Oryzias latipes: one gene and its partner. The protein of the gene in region 1 purifies or fractionates together with the protein of each later gene. This does not show direct contact. Links are inferred from orthologs where the notes say so. Each region holds a gene or a part of one and is shown on either strand. Other genes may lie near its edges.

Region 1 (10,577 bases):
GGTTCTGCTACTTTTGGATTTTCAGCCCAAGTTTTCTTCCATAAACAAACTACTTTCCATGTTTGATTAAATAATGATCAAGAATCTCTTGTGTCAGTTATTCAGATGTACAGTGTGTTCCAAATTATTATGCAAAAGTATTTGAAGTGTCAAAAAGATCCAATTCTTTGCTTTTCAACTAAACCCATCTTTGGACCACTTAAATCAATCTCAGACACCTGTGATAATTAGTTTGCCAGGTGAATTCAATTAAAGGAAGGAGTACGAAAGAAGGATGTTCCACATCATAAAGCAGAGCAACATTTTCAAGAAGAAAGAAAAAGGATGAGACTAAAAAAAAAAAAAAAAAAAAGAACCTTTTAAGTGAGGCATCAATTTCAACATTCTGTCGGTATGAAAAGCAGATTTAGCCGTAAGTCATTCCAACTTCATCATTCAAACAGTCATGAACATACTGGGGGCAGCATCCCCTCCCATAGTGCCCCTTCAGGTTGGTAGTAGGCGGTCAGATGTTGCAGATGAACTTGGTGTCTCAAAGTGTCATCAGCAGGCTAACATCAAGTCACAGAACTACAAGTAGCTTGTGACAGACACAGGATTGGAGCCCCGCCAGTGACAGACCACAACCATGACCGGGACCGAAGGACCTCTGCACTCAGACATGGTTGGGTAAATGCCACACAACTGCAAGCCTGTGTAACCCGTGTGCTATCCTAGGCACTTTAACATTGGGAGTTGGGTCATCTAGACCCACTAGGCAGTCCTCTGAACCTTTTTTCTTCAATGATTTGTGATCTTCACTGGTGTCCATGGATTACATGAAATCTTTCCACCTTTATCCACCTTTGTCATGGTAGGGAGAAAACGTCAATGTAAGGGTGGGGTCATCTAAGATAGCACAAGGGTTAATAAGACTAGCACCATATTAATTATTGTTTACATGTTTGTTCGTTCACATATTTAATGTACTCTTAATTATCTTGCAAGGAATGTGGAGAGCTTCCCCTGCATTGGGCGGCCGTGGTGCAGCGGTAGGGCGGTCGACCCATGATCGTAAGATTGCAGGCTCGATTCCCGCCTTGCACGCCCATGTGTCGAAGTGTCCTTGGGCAAGACACTGAACCCCACCTTGCCTCTGGTGGGAGGTTGGCGCCAGTGTTCGGCAGCGGAGCCGCCATCAGTGTGTGAATGTGTGTGTGCATGGGTGAATGGGACTGTGACTGTAAAGCGCTTTGGGCCTTTGAAAGAGGGTAGAAAGCGCCATATAAGTATACGCCATTTACCATTACCATTTACCACTGTTCAGTACGCAAGTTTTTATCTCTGAGTCACGCTGGTTGATTCTGGGTCAGGGAATCGGATTATTCAAAATGAACGAATATTGACCATGAATTGTATGGTCAACTAGAAATTGTGATATGAATCGAATCATTGTTAAAACAAATCATTACTCCCCTATCACTAACTGATGTTCCTTTACATTGTCAAATGAGGGCAGTGTTTCCCTTTCTGACCAAATATGGAGTAAGAAGATCCAGCTCAGGCTGCACTGTGGAACAGTGGTTAGCACTCTTGCCTCATGGCAAGAAGGCTCTGGCTTGAATCCCAGCTGGATCCTTTATGTGTGTAGTTAGCATATTCCCCTCATGCATGTATGGGTTTTCTCCGTGCAGTCCAGCTTCCTCCCACAGTCCAAAAACATGCTTCATAGGTTATTTGATTACTCTAAATGTTAACCCTAGGTTCTAGGATGTTTCTGAGGTAAAAACATGCAATGACTGGACCACCTACAATAACCAAATTGATATTGCACTGACTGGTGATGCCTGCTTAACCCTTGCGCTATCTTAGATGACCCCACCCTTACATTGACGTGTTCTCCCAACCATGACAAAGGTGGATAAAGGTTGAAAGATTTCATGTAATCCATGGACACCAGTGAAGATCACAAATCATTAAAGAAAAAAGATTTAGCGCACTGTATAGTGGGTCTACATGACCCAACTCCCAATGTTAAAGTGCCTAGGATAGCACAAGGGTTACAGGTGCAATTGCATAAGGCTCCATAAACTTTAGCAGCAAAAAAACAGCCTATGGTGGCCTCCACAGCAGAATAAACAGCTGTCATTCACTCTACAGTAAATGTTGCAATAGAAACATTTTATTTCATTAGTAAAGGTCAGGTTTGAGAGTAAAACTGTTTTTCGCTTTCATGGATTTTTGAAAAGCATGCCGGGATCAAGTGACGTAAATAGTATATGAGGGTAATTTACATAGCGGTTTGCTACCTTCTAAGAAGCCCTTTACAGTCAGAGACCCATTCACAAACTGATAGCAGCTCTGCTGCTGAACTCTGGCGCCAACATATAACCTCCGGGGAGCAATGTGGGTTTCAGTGGTGACAAGGACACTTCAACACATCGCCAAGCAGAGCGGAAACTGAACCAGCGACCTTCCACTCATATGTCGACCACTCTACCACTCCACATTTTGTTTCCACAAAATGCATTAAGCTCAAAATCAAGATTTAACCTAATTATTGAGCAGTAGTTTAATTTAGTCTATACTTCAGAAACATTGTTTTTGATCACAGTTCTGCCACTTTTAGTTGATAGAAATATACTAATGTAGTAGTTTATTTTTATTTTGTTATTTTTTTCCTAGGAAGCATGAAGCAGAATGTACTTTGCTTTATTATACAAAGGTCATAGAAAAAGATACCATAATAATGTAAGCAAGCAGAACAGTACATCTTAGAAGATTAAAAAAAAAAAAGTCTATAAAAAATTATTTTATTGTTGAAAGAATACATTTCTGTAGAACAGACAATAAATGCATATCACAATAAGGTGGTTGGTTTTTTCCAAAGATGTCCCAAATTCCTGATGGAAATATATTATGTTGTAAAAGAACTAGAATGGAAACTGCAATGTAAGCCTAGACACCCAAGTGCCTCACAGAGATTCAAGTTTATTGTCTTTGACATGGTTTTTAGAAGATCTTGACTAAGCAGCACCTACATCTAAAAAAGGAAAAGAAAACTACAAAAGTTAAATCCCCCATCTTTGGTTCTATGAAACAAAAATGTGTAGGTGCTGCTAATTATCAATACTGTGGGTGTTTAAAGGAAAAGAAGTGCCTGGATGATCTAAAAATTAAACAATAATGCCTTTTAAGTTCTCTATGTAGCAAACAGCAGTACATGGGCATTAGCGTCCTGCCATTAGCCTATGCTCTCTAAATCTAACCCTACACAGTACACAGGCAGACGCTGATGCACAGATACCAACACACATGCTGCATGAATTCACTTTGACAAATAAACCGAGAAGGGAGAAAGATGCAGAAAGCAGATGCTTGGAAATTCCTGAACAGAAATTCTGAACATGTTTGAGCTCCAAGGATGAGTTGAACAGATCTTCTAATGCCGTATCAGAAGGAGCAAAGATCTGCTGTGAATTTATCTGTCACAAAGTCTGCTCTTTGAACGTGCTCTCAACACGTAAAGAAAAATCTATAAATTAACAATGAACATAAAAGTGAAAAAAAAAACCCAGGGGAATATAAATTTAATGAAAAACTTCGCAAACAGCCTTTCCATTTTTACCATTTTCCGGTAAAAACGCTTCTTTGAATGTGCATGTGGGGCCGTTTCTCCCCTCGCATCCCTTTCTTTAGCTTTCTAAATTTCAAGTACACAAACATGTTTTAAGTCCCTGTTCATGGCAAAACTGAGATTTGTGTACCAAAACTTTCCTAACGTTAAATTCAAACACAGTAAAGTGGGTCGCGGGGGGGGGTCACATTTCGTCCTCTTCGTCTTCATCCTGAGAAGAGCCCGCCTGCTGGGCAACGCTTGCAGATGCTGCTGCCATCTGTGCCTGCTGGGCAGCCTGCTGCATCTGCAGCCACTCCTGCTGTTCAAGCTCCGCCTGCTGCTGCCGCGCCTGCAGAAGACGCACATTCTATCATGAGTGCTTGACACAATGTGGCACTTCAGGTTTACCCATTCAAGCTCATGGCAACCTGCAGTGAGTCCGGCCGGTTACTGCAGAAATAATAGTTTTTGGTAATTTTTTAAATATATACCGTACATGTAACTTCTCAAAAAGGTTTATCTTGTGTTGTTGGATATTTATTAAATGAATATCAAATACAACGCAGCAAATCAAACAAAGCAATACATAGGAACAAAATGTTTTTTTTAAAGGAATGTGAACAAAATACATCTCTCTGACCTTAAAGACCCACTCAAATAAAAATCATGCTTTTGGTGTTTTTAACATGTTCTTGTAGCATTTTTCTAGCTTACAGCCCCTCAAACCCCCAACCTAACTTTACCAGTGCGACAAAAATGATAAGCAATATTGGATTTCCAGCTGTATAGCTGAGTCGGAAGCCTGTTAAGACGAGGAAAAAGACGTACATGGATGCATTTGTCTGCAAGAGGATGTATCAGAATGGAGCAGAGAGGGAAGCTTGTGGCCCGCCGATTGTAGCTTTTTCCACACAGCATTTTGTCGTTTGCTCCTGACTCAGAACTATTTGAATGAAGAAATGCTCAGAAATGTAATATGAAGCTTGTTTTTCTTATGATACGTCTTCCATCATCAGAAAAATGCCACAAGAAGATTTTAGAAAACACCAAAAACATGATATTTTATTTGAGTGGGTCTTTAAAGTAAAAAACCTTTAGCAAAAACACACCATGGCCTGTCAGTTAAAGCTGAAAGGGCCACATTAACTTACTTTGAATGAGCAGAGAGTGCTTTGTTTCAGGACAATCAGCATAACTCAAAGAGGAAGTTACATTCAGGTTGATTTAAATGTGTATGCCTATATGATATTTGAAATTGTTTTGTGTGTACATGTCTTCATTTCTACAATACTTGACAGGAAAAGATTTTTTTTCATCTTAAATACTTCCTCTATGAGCTTAGTTAAGTATTTTCTATTAAAACACCTAAATTTGTTTGCATCCAATCTTAAAGGGGATTGATATCCTTAAATGGAATGACCAGTTTAGAAACTTTTGAAAATGTTAACAAAACCAAGCCCTTCTGTACCTCAAATGAAAAGTACAAGTTGTGTGCCCGTGTTCATCATGATCTGTAGGTTAATATTATTGTGGGTGTTCAAGCCACATTTGAAGGTGCAGTTTTCTGAGATCAGACCTTGGCAAATAACTCCTGCTGCTGCCTCAAGAGTTCCTCCTCCGGAATGCCCAGGTTTTCCAGTCGAGAGCTGGCCTTCCTCCTCTTAAGAGCAACCGTTTTGCACTCCTGCAGCACGTCTTTCACCTCTGTGATGTACGAGCCGAAACCAAGGCTCTCGAGGGCTGTGGTGCAGAAACACGAGGTTGAAACTACACTTTCTATGATGTGAAGCTTGCAGGAGGATCCGTGCTCCTTTGCATCCCCCCCCCCCCCACACACACACACACACCCACCCACATAAAGGACGAGCGATATTTAAAGAGGTGGTAAATACATGTAAATGAGAACCAACCGTTAATGACATGCTCTGGAGATATGGTCTTCTTGTCGGATTTGTTACAGATCTCATTCGCCTCGGAGGAAATAAGATGGATGAACTCTGTGCAGCAATTGACCACAAGCTCCCTGGCATCGTTGGCCACCCGTACGTTAGGCAAAGTTTCTTTGATCATTTTGTTGATAGCTGCTCTCGGTATGGTGAGGTCGTCGTCATTTCCAGACGAGGAAGCCATAGTGATGAAAAAAGGGGGGAAAGGAACAGAATAGTGGAACTCCGCTTCTTCGAGAAGATTTATCACGCGTTCACTGTCTTCTCTATGTCCATGTTACAGTAGACAGATAACGGTTCAAGAAAATATCGATGGAAATGTTGCCAAGCGAGCTAGTCTAAGTTAGCCCACTGGCTAGCTTACCAACCAAATGTCAAACAATGAGCAGGTTCTGTTGCTTGAGCGGCGCTCCTATATCGTATTTAATCGGCGAATAAATGTCCAAGATTGCTCTGAAGCTTACAGTAAAAAAAGGGAGGGGGAAGAAAAATTATATCCTTATATCCGTCGTCCGTGGCGAAACTGAGACGCAGCACACAAGTCCAATGAAAGCGGAGAGCATGGCTAAGCTAAGCTAACAATTAAGCGCAGATGAAGCGGAGCTGTTTGCTTTACGAAGCGCAAGAATTATAGTCAGTTCTACTCGTAAATAATTGGAGTATTTATATGTAAGTCCTGAACTTGACCAAAATTTGATTGCAGATGTTTTGTTTAGGTTTATAATTTGGAGTTGTGTACTGTACAAACATTAGCTGAAATGTGTCCGGTTACGACGTCAGACAAAGGGCGTTTTTGATTGGCTCCGAGTGTGCGCTATAACAATTTCCGGTGCCCACCAGGATGGAGTCGGGTGGTACAACAAATGATTGGAAATTGTTCCGCAGGGAGCTACAGATGTAATTATCTTTTTTTTCTTTCGTTACAAAACCAAACTATTATCTCTGATTTTTCTAAGATTGCCTACTTTTGGAAATATATTTATTTTAAATGAAGAAAAAAAAAGTATGTATCTACAAATGCATTGTTTTTAGCAGTTGTAACATTAATATTAAGAATAATTTGATTCATATAATTTGTGGTTGCTGATATGATTCATAGTTAATTTTAGATCATAGTGAACCAGTAAATTTATTACGATTCACTGACCTTATTTTGATCCAGAACATCTTCAGCCAAATATTCAACCAATGTGGCTCAGAGATAAATACCTGGGTACTAACAGTGCAAGGTGAAGTTTTTCCACATTCCTTGTATTTCTTTCAAGATAATCAAGTGTAAATTAAATATGTGTACAAACAAGCCAGTAATCAAGTACCAATGTCAAATCCATTCACATTTTAGTTTCATAAAGTTTTGCCTACTGTTGTTTTTCCACATAAAAAATAATACAAATGGAACATTATCAGAACATTCTACCACACTGTTTGGTCACGTCTTTGCTAAATCAAAAGTGTTTTGCTGTCATCTCGTGTGTGTGTGTGTTGTCCACTGTGATGCACGTGGTCATTTTTAAGTTACAGTAAAATAAACCTACAATGCCTCAATCCAAATGGTATTTTTCAGTAAAGATTATAGTCAATTTAATTTTGAAATGATCTTATGGTATTTATCGATTTGATTAACAACTTGTCTCAGACTTTGATCTGGATAAATAAATTAATTAAGTGTTACATCCCTACTATTCTTTGTTTTATCTGACTTAGAGTTGCCCCGTTGCCATGTGTGAACATTTTGTTTTTAAGTTATATTTACACTTCCAAAAAGTGTAAATATACATTAAATCAAGTTCTACCTGTAGAACTTGATCTAATGTAATTTCTAAAGACAAACATTTCAAAATGCCAAACAGTAGTTTCTCTCACAATGATCTTTATTTAGTGGCATAGAAAAATTAATAAAGAAATAGAACTTCCTTTGAAATTATGATAAATATTGTTGTTAGTGTTAGTTAATTCGTTTAAATAATAATTTTGGATTTTTTAACAGAAGCTAGCCAGCTTATTGAGAGCAACAGAAAAATATAACTGGGAACAATTTTACAATAGATCAAAAGATGGTAGAAGTGGGATTTAAACATGTTTAAAGTGAATTTTAATTAACACAGTGGAATTCGCCACTGTGTTAACTGTTTAAGCAGTTCTCATGCATCAAAATTTACACACTTCTCAAACCTTTTTTATTTAAGATTGCCTTCAAATACATATACTCTCTCAATTCAAATACTACTTCTGTAGAAGGCTTTTCAAAATGTAATTTTAAATTCTGAACCACTGATGTATTTTGCATTTGAAATTAAAATCCTGAAACACTCAGTTCTTGTCTTTTTCCAGGGTGAAACTCTTGCGACTTCTCCAGCGCAGAAGTTTGAGGAAGTTAAGGCTAGCGTTGAAGACTTTGTCGTGCTCAAACACCATCTTGTAAAATGTGTCAATTGGAAGGTCACCATTGGGGTCGGCATATTTGAGTGTTGTCATGGGGGTGTAAAGTGTGTTTGTCTGATGGCGAAAAGGCGGGTTCTCCATGGTGATGATCTTTAGTGTGTGCTGAGAAGAAAACACACAGCAAAAAAATCAACAACACTAAAACAAAAGAGAACTTTGCTTCAGAATGTCAAAACACATGACATAACTGACACACGAGCATGTTTGGGGGGCTGTGTACCTCTGCGATGTCTTCAGCACTTTGTCCAAGGGTTTCAAAGATTTGCTTGTAGTTCTTCAGGTAGATGTTTGTGAACATATCAGCAGTTGGTTTGTCAGCTTTGCTGAGATCGATCTTCACACCTTCGTCATAGACCTTTCGTTCAAATTCTGTCAGCACCGGGCCTGGTTCAATCAAACTGATGCTAAAAACATAGTTCACAGTTTTAATTACAATTGCTTGGATTCTGGTAAAAAAAAAAAGGGGTTGAAATTTGGTTTTCTTTTGTAACTAGGCATTTTAAATTATGTGTAAACTGGAAACTGTTTTTTGTAATTTGGAAAGGGGTTTAGGAAAACCTGGTGTCTTGTCGTTTCACTGTTATACATATTTAGCAATATTTGCCTAGACAAAATTGATGATGTTTCTCTATTGGTAATAAAAAAAAACCTAACAATGGTCACTTAAAATTAACTAAAGAGCCCAACACAACCTCCATAGATATTAAAGGTGAACCCAAAGTACATCAATGTAAACAGTGTCTATTAAAAGACAGTTACTAACAATTTTGTCCTTGTGTGTTTGAGTATCTTACTTGAGATTAAATCTCAAGGCTTGTATAGCCAGGCTCTCACAAAAACCTTCCACTGCAAACTTGGATGCTGCGTAGACGTCGTTGAACAAAATCCCTAAAACAGAGAACATCACAGGTCAGAGAGTCACAGACAAATGATCAACTAGGCATTGCAGCCGTCCTCACCTTGAATGCCCATCACGCTGCTAATGACCACGATGTGGCCTTTCTTCCTTTTTTTCATGTCGGGTAGGATTTCCTTCAGCAATCGCACAAGTCCGAAGAAGTTTGTGTCCATGACCGTCTTCATCTCATCAATAGACTGACATTCAATGGGTCCGATCAGGCCCATCCCTGCATTGCTTACTTTTACCAGGAAATAAAAATGTGGGGGTCATGTTGACAAAGTGTGCTCAAAAGATGTTGCACGAAAAAGAACTTCAATAAGTCTGTTATGGTGCGTCATAACACTTATATCAAGACAATACTCATGTATGAAAGGAACCTAGAGTCGACATACTGAGGATGTCCACCCTGCGTTCTGGTAGGCTGTCAATACAATCTTTGATGGAATCCTCATCACAAACATCCAGCTTCTTGATCTCCAAGGTTCTGCCCAGTGTCCGACCAGCCGCATCTATCAGTGGCTTAGCCTTGTGCAGGTCCCTCATGGTTGCATAGACTGCAAGAGAAAAACATTCAGTGGAAGATGCAGTTTTTAGTTGCTGTGTCACTAAATAAAAGTAGTTTTATAATAAGCACAATGACCTCTGCTTGATTTTAGAGGCTCTTCAGGCATCTTTTGTCCTTAGAAAATTAACAGTCATTTTCAAAGACTTTGACCAAAACTTGTAACTATGATCTCTTTTTAAGCAGCAGAAGTATCCCCTAACCCCTGCTTGGTGTGCTAAGAAAGGTGTTCACCATTTTAGAATTGTTTTGTTTGGAGAAATTAAACCCAAATAATCTGTCCCACCTTGGAACCAGAAACCTAGTGTAAGCACAGTCCACTCCACATAGACTGAATTTGAAATAATCCTGGGTGGCTGTGGCTCACAGTTGCCTTTCAGAGAAAGGGTTGGTGATTCAATTCTTCAGTCACATTTCAGATTGTCCCATTTGACAAAACACTGATCCTTTAGATCCCTCAGGGGGGTCCAGAGCCATGGCTGGCCTCATTAGTGAGTTGTGGAGTAATCTTTACAACATTCAGAACCATCATGCCAAAGCCTGGAAGGACAAAGTGAAGGAAAGAACTCAACCACAGCTTGTATATAAGGATGGATGAAATGCATGTGACTTTATAAAAACACTTTCCAACAACAAAAACAAAAAAAACAATATCCTATAAGATAACAGAATAAGTATAAACCAAAGAGAAAACATTTGTCATCGTTAGTGGAATCTTTTTTAAAGGAAGCATTTTTACCCGTAATATTGGTTCTCTGTGAAGAGGGCGGGTAGGATCAAGAATTAAAAGATCGGAGGATCAGCTCATGTTAGATATTTTGGAGATAAATGCAGGGAATCAGATTGAGATGATCTGGAAATGCTCAGAGTGATTATGTAATAAATTAATACGGAGACAATAAAAGCAGAATTTTGATACAGCAACAGAATATATTACAATGAGAACCATATAAACATTTCTTTTCATTGTATTTTTTGCAAATAAATACCATGTAAACAAACATTCTCCATCATTCTTGTCTTTTGCAGCAGGCAAGAATGGAGAACGTCAATAAAACCCTAAAACCTGGTTAAAATGCTTTTTAGTCTCAGCCTCCAAATATTCAAACTTTAAAAAATGGACTTAAG
Region 2 (10,515 bases), on another chromosome or scaffold:
GGCCTTCTTTGACTTCCCGTAACTATTCAACTGTTTACGCAATTAACATAAATGAACGGATTCTGGAACTTTACAGTAGTGACGTTTTGAAATAAATAACGTAAACCAACTGATTGGGACGAGGAGAAAAGCACTCTTTACAGTAGTAAGTCTTGATTGACGTAGTTAACATAAAAAAAAGGTTTCTGATGAGGAGAAAAATGATCGTAGAGTTACGGTACTTCAAAGAGAGTGTAATGTTAGCTTCAGGTTCATGTTTATTTTCCCCTCAAGAATTGGCCCAAGTGAAAGTTTAGCTAACATGCCTTTTCGTAGGAGTCCTTCGCACGAGCAAAGAACTGGGTGAAGGAGCTACAGAGACAAGCTAGCCCCAATATAGTCATCGCTCTGGCGGGCAACAAGGCGGACTTGGCTAACAAGAGAGCTGTCGAATTTCAGGTGAGCAAGAACACGCCATATTTAGTTCTATTTAAATCCCACGGATGCTTAAATACATTGACAGCCGGAACGCTTGCTGGATGTTTAGCTTCAGTGGATTCTCCGTGTTGTTTCAACAGGACGCCCAGTCTTACGCAGACGACAACAGCTTGCTGTTTATGGAGACCTCAGCCAAGACATCGATGAATGTCAATGAGATATTTATGGCAATTGGTGGGTAATTCAAATGAATTCATGTTTTTCTATTGTAATAGGAGACATTGTGGTCGATCGCATGTTTGTATTCTCTTGCATAGAAGTGCTTGCACAGTGGGTGTGTTACTGAGACTTGTGATCACAAGTCAATTCTTCAATTGAGCAATAATAGAGCGTTGACGAATATCATGGCTTCATCAAATCCGCCAGACATGAGTCACTGCAGGGAGATAATCCACTGCATAATCCAATGTCGGCTGGTTCTACGTCACTATTTTTTAATGAAATAAAATAGTTTATTTGTAAACAACTTTTAAAAGAAGTATTTTTTTTTTCACATTTTTGTGACTTTTTATTCTTTAGCAAAGAGATTGCCGAAGAGTGAGCCTCAGGCTCCAGGAGCCACCAGCGGGCGGAACCGTGGAGTGGACCTGACAGAAGCCGCCCAGCCGGCCAAGGCTCCATGCTGCTCCAACTAACAGGAAGAACACAGTTTTCCAACACCTGCATACTAGTTACTGATGTGGCTCGTGCCACCGAAGCTACTAAAACAATGTGTCAGTCATTGTTTGAAGCCAGAAAAGATATCCTGCGCCCAATTAACCCCTCCATCCTGCCCCCCCCCTTCTCTTCGACTTTTTCTGTACCGTGACCCGATGAAGCCTCCTAACCACTTTGTCTTACTTTTATGCCACCAACTCGTCCATCAAGTAGAATTGATGGATTGAGAACAGAAGCAGGCGTCCCTGTTGCTTAAGCAGATGAGAGTTGTTGGTGGAGGAATCCCTTTTACTGGAATAGCTTAAAGCCTAACTGCTGTTTTGTTTTTATTAATACGTTAATCATTGTTTAGATTTGTGGAAATGATGAATTCCCATCTGGGTAAGTCAAAAGAGACAAATGTGTTCTAACAAAGTCTGTTGGAGAAGAATTCTGAATCTGAGAGGGGAGGTGGTGGAACTCTGTGCTCCCTCTCGACCCTTTTTACTTTAACGGATAGAAACAAAAGGCTTTTTTAAAATCTGATTCCCTTCACTGACCCTGTCCGTATCCTTCACTTCCACTAAATTCACTCTATTTATTTTTTTCTTCTCCCCTCTCCACACCTCTGGGCTCCATCATGGCTCTGTGCCTGCCTGTAGCCTGTCCATAGCGGCATTGTGCAATGTTTTGCAGTATTTACTCTTGAGGTGAGCGTCTGCCAGGACCAGCGCTGCACAGCGGAACCCCTTCCTCACTCACCCACACCTGATGTGTTATGTCTTATCATAGACCCTCATGCGCTCAGACGGGGGATTTAAGTCCAGGATCGTCTGACGGATTTGTCGCAGTTGTTGCAGGGTTTTTGTTAAAAAGAGTGATGATCGGAGCTTTGCAATATGTATGAATTCTTCGTAATTATGTTGGAATCATAATTATTTGACATCTTAAAAAAGTGCTTTAGACACACTAGTGTCATTATCCGCAATCTGGGCCTGAAACGGTGACGAATTTCAGAAGGAGATGAAACAACACACTCGTTTGTGTGTGTGTGTGTGCACGTTGGAACTCACATTTGCACAATAAAAACAAAAACAGATTCACTTTCTCCGCCGAGCTCTTTTCTGCTCTAGATCAGCTCATATTCTGTCTGTTACACCTTATTGGTCCGTTTCCTACACATTGTCACATAAACACCCGCGGCATTAAGACTTCAGTCTTTTTTTGTTGTTTTTTTTTTTGTTACAGATCGGTTTTATTCACGTCTTGCACTAATGATTCTCATAAAATTTCTCTAATTTCAGGTGTGATTATAAATATATACATAATATAAATATATAAATAATTTACTGTAAATATCATGTTGCAGTGTAGTCTACCCTTTTTCTTTTCATTTTACCAACTACTGCTTGCTAGGGAGTTGTTTAGATAATCAAGGAGAAGACAAAAAGTGTAGTTTAAAAAAAATGGCTACATTCTCAGTTTGGACCTTTTTTTTTCCCACACACAAGGATGCATAATAAACAGTGGTGGTCTTTATGTATGTAGTGATATTAACAAAAAAATAGCATTTATTTAGAATCCATTTCTCCAAATAAAAAAATGTTTATCTGAACTTTTGTGTGTTGCGTGTGTTGTGTGAGCGTGTGTGTGTGTACAGAGACAATGATGCCTTGTTCTTTTCCCTGTGTGTAGAGAGGAATTTCGATACGCACCACAATCAGATATCACATTCAGAAGGATGAAAATCCACTGGCCTGGAGCGATTTGTGACCATACTGGATTTTTTTAAATGTTATTTTATTCCAAAACCACTTAAAGATGGCATTTTTTTGTGTGAAAATACTTATTTGCATTAAAGGATAGTCTAAAATGCAAGTGTTTGACAGCACTGTTATGTAATGACCAAATCAATACTGAAATAAATGTGATCATTTGTCATTGTGGTACGACTTTTTTGTGTATATACACCTCATGTCACTTTACTTTGACATTTTTTTTATTTTTTCGGTGTTTTTTTACTTTTATTTATGCTTCATTGCTTTATTGTCTGAAAATGTGCTAAAATTATGGACAAATGACCTTGAAATTCTTTGCCTGCATTTTGTGACCTCTCTGAAATGTGTGCAAGTCAGAGGATCAGCGCTGCGCCCCCTAGTGGAGGAAATCGGCCCCACAGCGAGAAATTGAAAATAAGGATGAGCGCCATGTCTGATTCTCTGCTTGTGGAATAGAGCGGACGGCGCTGCGAGCTTTCCCCGGGCCTTCTGGGTTTTTTGTGGGGGATAATGGCCGACAGCGCTGGAATTCAACAAGGCTCGCCGGCCATCGGAGCCGCCGGCCTTGTCCCAGCCGCCCCCGGTGCCGGGGGAACGGAAGGCTCCGGCGCCGCTGGAGGATCCGCACGTATCGTCGCGAAGAAGGCGCAACTCCGCTCCTCGCCTCGGCCGAAGAAACTGGAAAAACTCGGAATTTATTCGTCATGCAAAGTATGCACTCCCGCAGTGGACGGACTGCCGGAACAGTGAAGTTTGTAGTGCGCGTTGGTCTTGGAGGATTTTCCTCTGAGGTTAGGTTGCAATAGTTCAGTATCGCATTATCATATGCAAACCCAGCAGAGGAAGCCATTGCCCCACTTTTTCTCCCCTCTTCATTTTTGTCCTCCGTACACAACCGAGAGGGGAGTCTTTAAAACTGCGGCGCGCGTGACGCTTGTTTTAGTTCACACTAGGACTCTTAAAGTAGTGCCTTCCCCCCGGAAAGCGTTTATAGTGTGACTGTGTGTCAAAGAGGGGGTCGCCTCGCGCTGTTTAGGAGTAACAAGCTAACGGAGGTAAAAATAATAAAAAAAAAAATTTCTGTTTGTGGTCACGTGCGCGCTTATGCCACTACAGGAATTTTTCCACGCTTGCCCGAGGCGTTTAACGGAGCGCGGGGGGAAGCACGGAGCAGGTTATTGGGCTTGTGCGGCGGGTGATCCGCAGAGAGGGAAGGGGTCTTTGTTTTGACAGGGTGACAGCTGCTGCGGTGGGCGGAGTTTGTTGTAGTTCCAAGCGCGTGCGCAGAACAGCGTAGCCAACTGACAGCGGTGTCAGTCCTGCTCCTCCCCCAAAATGTCGCCTCCGGAAATCTGTCTCAATTGTATGGAGGCATTTTAAGTCATGATTAGAGTAAAATTTAATTGTGAATTGACATTTCAGGCTTGGAAAACGAAAACACATTTTGAAAATTAGGATTCAATATCTAAATTTATATTTCAATATGACAATTTTAAAAATAAAATATTGAAAAAATGCATTTGTAACCCTTGTGCTATCCTAGGCACTGTAACGTTGGGAGTTGGGTCATCTAGACCCACTAGACAGTGCTCTGAACCTTTTTTCTTCAATGATTTGTGATCTTCACTGGTGTCCATGGATTACATGAAATCTTTCCACCTTTATCCACCTTTGTCATGGTAGGAAGAACACGTCAATGTAAGGGTGGGGTCATCTAATATAGCACAAGGGTTAAATCGTATAATCATATTGCAAATTGAATTTTTAATTGAGAATTGCATATCACTTTGAATTGTGGCTCAAAAAAACGTTGATACAATTGAGACTAAAAAGAGTATTCAAAACCCATGCTACTTATTAAATTAGAAAAGCAAAAAAGTTTATTTATTTTACAAATAGGGACGTATTTGTTGCTGGAGATAATTTTAGTGGAATCTTATTTGGCGCGTGCTAATACAAAAAAATGTTTGTGACTACTGCCCCCTAAAGGTTGAGATCAGGAACTGAATTTAGGAAGAACCACGCGATGAAAATATGTATTTTTTGTCTTTCTAATATGTTCTCCAGACATTTTTCATGAAAAAAAGACAAACATAAAGAAAATTAAGTTAGAAATTGCATTTCTAAGTCTTTATTCAAATCATTGTGAATCAAGAGCAGACGAAAGAATGCAGTCTGAAAAAGGTTTTAGTTGGGATGTAGAAATTACACTGTGCGGGCGAAATGCTCCGTGATCTCCCCCCCATTCTGATGCATCCATTTGTAGACGACTTGTACATCTTCGTTTTCTTTATCCGAGCTAGCGTCTGGCACAAAACTCTTCAGAAGGATAGTTCTGATATTGCTTGACATTTTTGTTGCACTGTTAACGTTAACTCTGGGTTGTGAGGGGCTGTGAGCTAGTGGGAGACAGTGTAAACGGAGAACTCTCAACAAAGGGGAGGGGAAGGGAGGTGGGGTTGCTACACGCCAATGTTTTCTGCCTAGAAAATGACCCGTTTTTTAAAATTTTGCCTAAAATCGTAACTGGGAACGCTTTTATAATTTATCAAAAATAATCGGAGTTGGTCTTCAAATAATTCCAATGGGAGGAGGAGATGAACATTGGCAATTGTATCGATTTAATCATTCTGGCAAAATTACAAAGCCGTTTTGGAAAAAGTGTTGATTAAAGACAGAAGACGGGGTCGCCAACAGTTGCGGTGGTAGGCCCTCTTTTGGAATGTCCCATCTTCTAGTCTTTACCTAAAGCATACATAGCTCATTATTGGTATCATCAAAACTAAATAAAATAGGTAACTTTGTTTATGATTGTATATTTAAAAATGAAATAAAAAAGATATAACAATTTTAATGTTTTTCCTTATAGGCTGAGGGGCCCTGTAAATGTAATGGCTGGAAAAGCCAGAACCCCCCTCCCACACCCCCCCAAACCGACCAGCAGACCAACACAGTGAACCTACAGGAGCCCTGCCGCAGCTGCTCCCACACTCTGGGTATGTTGTATTTCCAGTTGCCTGCAATAATCCTCCTTCAGATCTTGGAAGATTCCAGCCTCTGTCACCTCACAGGCGATCACGTGAGCCATCTAGAAAATATATCGGAAGAGGAAATGAACCGACTCCTAGGTGTCGTCCTGGACGTGGAATACCTGTACACGTGTGTCCACAAAGAGGAGGATGCTGACACTAAACAAGTCTACTTTTCACTGTTTAAGGTACATTTCTAGCGTCACCATTTTTTTCTTTTTTCATAAACACTGTTACCTCACTCACCAACGGCGGCTTGCCTTTCAGCTTTTAAGGAAATCCATCTTGCAGATGGGTAAACCGATGTTGGAAGCACAAGAGAGTCCTCCTTTTGAAAAACCCAGCATTGAACAGGTGAATTAAAGAAATCCTGGTGGGGTTTTTTTTAACTAAATTGTAAGATTCATTTCTTTTTTTATTTTAAATTTTAATTCAATAGGGAGTGAACAACTTTGTCCAGTACAAATTTAGCCATCTACCATCAAAAGAGCGTCAAACCATCATGGAGCTGGCGAAGATGTTTCTTAACCAAATCAACTACTGGCAGCTGGAAACACCGTCTCAAAGGCGCCAGAGGGTTCCGAACGAGGAAACGGCGGGATACAAAGTCAACTACACCAGGTACCGACCATGAACCCATCTGTCCCGCGCAGGTTTCAGTCAAACCCACTGAATGTATACGAGAACTGGACCGAGTGAGTGTGATGTCACCCATAAAAAATGAGTTCTGGCTCCAACCAAATGCAGTGAATTCTGTCATCATTCAGTCGCAATACGGACATTGCCATGTTGGACCCAGACGACGTTGGTAAAGGCCGTGTGACGCTTATTACACATGTGAAAATTGGTCATATATGAATATGTGTGGAAAAGGGGAGAAAAGTAGTGGTCTTTACGCAAAATGTTCACAGATCTATCAAGAATGAACCACGTTAAAACCGTGGAAGAAGTACAAAAAAAAAACACGCAAAGAACAATCAATCTGTTCATAACTTGAATAACTTTCCTAACAGAAACAATGTGAAAAAAATGAGAACGAGAAAGTGTTTATAAAATGTTTATAAAAAGTAGCCGAGCAAGAATGGTTATTCTGACAAATAGAATGAGTAACAGCTTTTTTTTTCTCAATAGGAGTCTATGGGATTATGTTTTCTTGGAGCCAGTGAGTACTTCCTGTTTGGAACACGGGGAGGGGGGTGTCACTCAGTCCAGTTCTTTGATACAGTCAATGGTCAAACCACAGAGATCCAAAAAGTAAGGGGTCCCCCTTTCTCAGGTGGCTGTGCTACTGCAATGTGCCCCAGTTCTGCGACAGCCTGCCGCGGTACGAAACCACCCAGATCTTCGGTCGGACGCTGTTGCGTTCTGTGTTCACCATCATGAGGAAGCAGCTGCTGGAGCAGGCCAGGCAGGAGAAGGACAAGCTGCCCCCAGAGAAGCGCACGCTCATTCTGACACACTTTCCAAAGTAAGACAGCAGCCGCATTCAGACAAACTGAACAAGTTTTCAAAGAAACTATTAAGAACTGTCTGTTAAAAATCACAGTAATTCAAATTCCAGCTAATAAACTAAAACTAAAGGAACTAGAATTTGAAAATAACTCACAACAGGGACCAGGAATATTTTAGAAATATAAAAAACACATTCTTATGAACCCATTCCACTCAAAGTCACAGAGTGATTATTACATTTTCATAAGATTGAATCAATTTCAAACTTTCATTGCAAAACTAACTTATAGCGTTATGTGCGTCACAGACGCACAAAAACCGATGATAAAATCCTGGCTTTATTGATAAATAATGCAGTTACATGTTTAAGTCACGCTTGATTTCTTCTTCTAGGTTCTTGTCGATGTTGGAGGAGGAGGTGTACAGTCACAGCTCTCCTATCTGGAGTCTGGAGTTTTTGGCAGGAACTACAGGCGGGCAGATTCCCGTTCAGACTGGTAGAAAAAACTACCTATACCCAACGATTTTTTCCTAGTTTTTGGTATTCCAAGCTCCTGTGGTTGAATCCTTTTCTATTTCCGTCTATCTTCCCCAGTGATCAGCGCACCCCCAGTGACGAGGTCACTGTACTACAGCGCCAGTCCGGTTTCGGTGGAGCCATCCACATGCGGAAGCGTCAGTCCTGCCAGGAAACCCAACCCTACTTTGGAGTCGAACCCAGGTGGGAACCCAGGATTTGTGCAAAGAAATTGGAAAGGCAGCTCAGGGTCCATTTTCGACAGGTTCATTTTATATGCTTGATTTGCACTATGTGACTAAAATACCTTCTTGCATTGTCTGGATTTAGTCGTAGTGGGAGAAAAACGCAAAGCCTCTGAACCCCTTCACCACGAAGAAAACAAAAGACCACGGGTGATGGGTGACATCCCCATGGATCTCATCAACGAAGTCATGGCGACCATCACCGACCCTGCCACCATTCCAGAGGTAGCTTTGAAGGATGTGTAATATCAATTCAACCATTTCCACTGCTTTATGCTTTTTTTTTTTCTTTCAGACAAGTCTACTGTCTGCTCATTCGGCTCGTGACGAAGCTGCGCGCCTTGAGGAGCGGCGAGGAGTGATTGAGTTCCACGTCATCGGGAACTCGCTGAACCAAAAGCCCAACAAAAGGATCTTGATGTGGCTGGTGGGGCTTCAGAATGTGTTCTCGCACCAGCTGCCCCGCATGCCCAAAGAGTACATCACACGGCTGGTGTTTGACCCGTGAGTCCACGTCTGTTCTCGACTCCGAACTGCTGCAAGACCCTTCTGAGTGAATTAAATAACAGCCATTTGAAACGTTTTGGTCCCGCAGGAAGCACAAGACGCTGTCATTAATCAAGGACGGGCGTGTGATTGGAGGAATCTGCTTCCGGATGTTTCCGTCGCAGGGTTTCACAGAGATCGTCTTTTGTGCGGTCACATCTAACGAACAAGTTAAAGTGAGAAGACACTCGGTTTCCCAGCTCTGCTTGTGCTTGGATGCACTTTTTACCTGTCGCTGTTTGGCTGCAGGGCTACGGAACCCACCTGATGAACCACCTGAAGGAATACCACATTAAGCATGAAATTCTCAACTTCCTCACGTATGCCGACGAGTACGCCATCGGGTACTTTAAGAAACAGGTATACTGTTGTTTCTAGACGTAGAGAGATGTTGTGCAACTTTTCAGGGACTTTCTGGACACCCAGTCACATTGGCTTCCTTACAGGAGAGTATCATTTCAAGCCATTGTGTTTGAAATGTGATGTTGTTCCAGTAGGTGCTAATAATAGTAGTAATGAATACAGTAATCTTTATCTTGCTTTGTTTGATGCTAAATTGCTCCTATTTTCCTTCAGGGTTTTTCAAAGGACATCAAAGTTCCCAAGTCGAAGTATGTGGGCTACATCAAGGACTACGAAGGAGCCACGCTCATGGGCTGTGAACTCAATCCCAGCATCCCGTACACCGAGTTCTCGGTGATCATCAAAAAGCAGAAGGAGGTACGTATTGAGTTGGGTCCATGTCCTCGCTGCTTCCTTCCTGTAGCCCCACTCAACCCGGTGTCCCTCTTCCTGCTCAGATCATTAAGAAGCTGATCGAAAGGAAGCAGGCTCAGATCAGAAAGGTCTACCCAGGACTGTCCTGTTTTAAGGACGGAGTCCGGCAGATTCCCATCGAGAGCATTCCTGGCATACGTATGTTACGTTCACTGCTCGCTGTACGAAACGCTTTCCTCCCCAATGGGATCTCATTTTAGACGGTCTTTTCCACAGGCGAAACTGGATGGAAGCCTGCAGGTAAAGGGTAAGGTCATAAGCATCTGCCTCGAAGGACGCCTCATTTTTACAAAAAAAAATAAAACATTATTGTTACAATTTCTGCTTTTCTATTTCTATTTCAGGAAGGAACTGAAGGATCCAGAGCAACTGTACACCACTCTGAAGTCCATCCTCCAGCATGTGAAGGTGAAGGACAAACCCGTAAAAACATGCACGCCACATCTGTTTATGTTTTTTAAACTCAAATCTGCATGTTTCAGAGCCACCAAAACGCCTGGCCCTTCATGGAACCCGTGAAGAAAACAGAGGCACCGGGTTACTACCAAGTCATTCGCTTTCCCATGGGTACGTACTGAGTACTAATGAGGAACCGACTCATGTCAGCTTGTTGAGTTTGATATGAAGCAAGTGTCACAATATAAGTGATCAAGGCCTTAAAATTAAAATAAGATTACCGGAATCAAATTTCCTGCTGCTGGTGTCAGGGCTGAGGGAGCACTGCAGGTCTTTGGTTCTGATTCATAGTCTCATCCTACATTCACATCGGCCTCTGCAACATGCACTCAAAAATGAACACTGAAAAATGAATGTAAGCCCACATTTTTGGCTTCCACATGTAAAACGCTCATGTTCACACAAGTACAAATTACACAGCCATTGAACGCGCGTTGAAAGTTAAACCAGTTCAACTTTGACCAATCAGGGACTCGGATTTGTTGGTGACTTATGGATGGCATGCTTTTTGGCCAACCGTTTTAAAATTGATCTTGAAGGAGAAATTAATAATCGCAGTTTGTTCCCAGATCGAATTCTGACACCAAGTCTTTCATATATCT

What was found.
Region 2: the proteins of dr1 (region 1) and histone acetyltransferase KAT2B purify together in Homo sapiens (affinity purification with mass spectrometry; 3 studies listed by BioGRID and IntAct, with this or other methods). This does not show direct contact. The link is inferred for Oryzias latipes from reciprocal best matches to the Homo sapiens genes DR1 and KAT2B.

The regions. Positions count from the first base shown.
Region 1 is NC_019862.2:24,025,304-24,035,880, forward strand, and holds dr1 (protein Dr1), read right to left. Parts: upstream 6,347-10,577; 5' UTR 5,729-6,346; coding exon 5,509-5,728; intron 5,339-5,508; coding exon 5,175-5,338; intron 3,948-5,174; coding exon 3,801-3,947; 3' UTR 2,676-3,800; downstream 1-2,675. Other genes in the region: retinol dehydrogenase 8-like, read right to left, coding at 7,855-8,088, 8,207-8,390, 8,781-8,874, 8,946-9,125, 9,280-9,441. UniProt on the Homo sapiens protein: The association of the DR1/DRAP1 heterodimer with TBP results in a functional repression of both activated and basal transcription of class II genes.
Region 2 is NC_019869.2:22,458,693-22,469,207, reverse strand, and holds the start of histone acetyltransferase KAT2B, read left to right. Parts: upstream 1-3,274; 5' UTR 3,275-3,401; coding exon 3,402-3,602; intron 3,603-5,035; exon of another isoform or gene 5,036-5,686; intron 5,687-5,760; coding exon 5,761-5,887; intron 5,888-5,962; coding exon 5,963-6,108; intron 6,109-6,187; coding exon 6,188-6,274; intron 6,275-6,359; coding exon 6,360-6,541; intron 6,542-7,196; coding exon 7,197-7,388; intron 7,389-7,765; coding exon 7,766-7,869; intron 7,870-7,967; coding exon 7,968-8,093; intron 8,094-8,219; coding exon 8,220-8,359; intron 8,360-8,429; coding exon 8,430-8,638; intron 8,639-8,729; coding exon 8,730-8,856; intron 8,857-8,929; coding exon 8,930-9,040; intron 9,041-9,256; coding exon 9,257-9,400; intron 9,401-9,480; coding exon 9,481-9,595; intron 9,596-9,673; coding exon 9,674-9,704; intron 9,705-9,801; coding exon 9,802-9,865; intron 9,866-9,939; coding exon 9,940-10,024; intron 10,025-10,515. Other genes in the region: ras-related protein Rab-5A, read left to right, coding at 316-438, 558-651, 997-1,112. UniProt on the Homo sapiens protein: Functions as a histone acetyltransferase (HAT) to promote transcriptional activation. Has significant histone acetyltransferase activity with core histones (H3 and H4), and also with nucleosome core particles.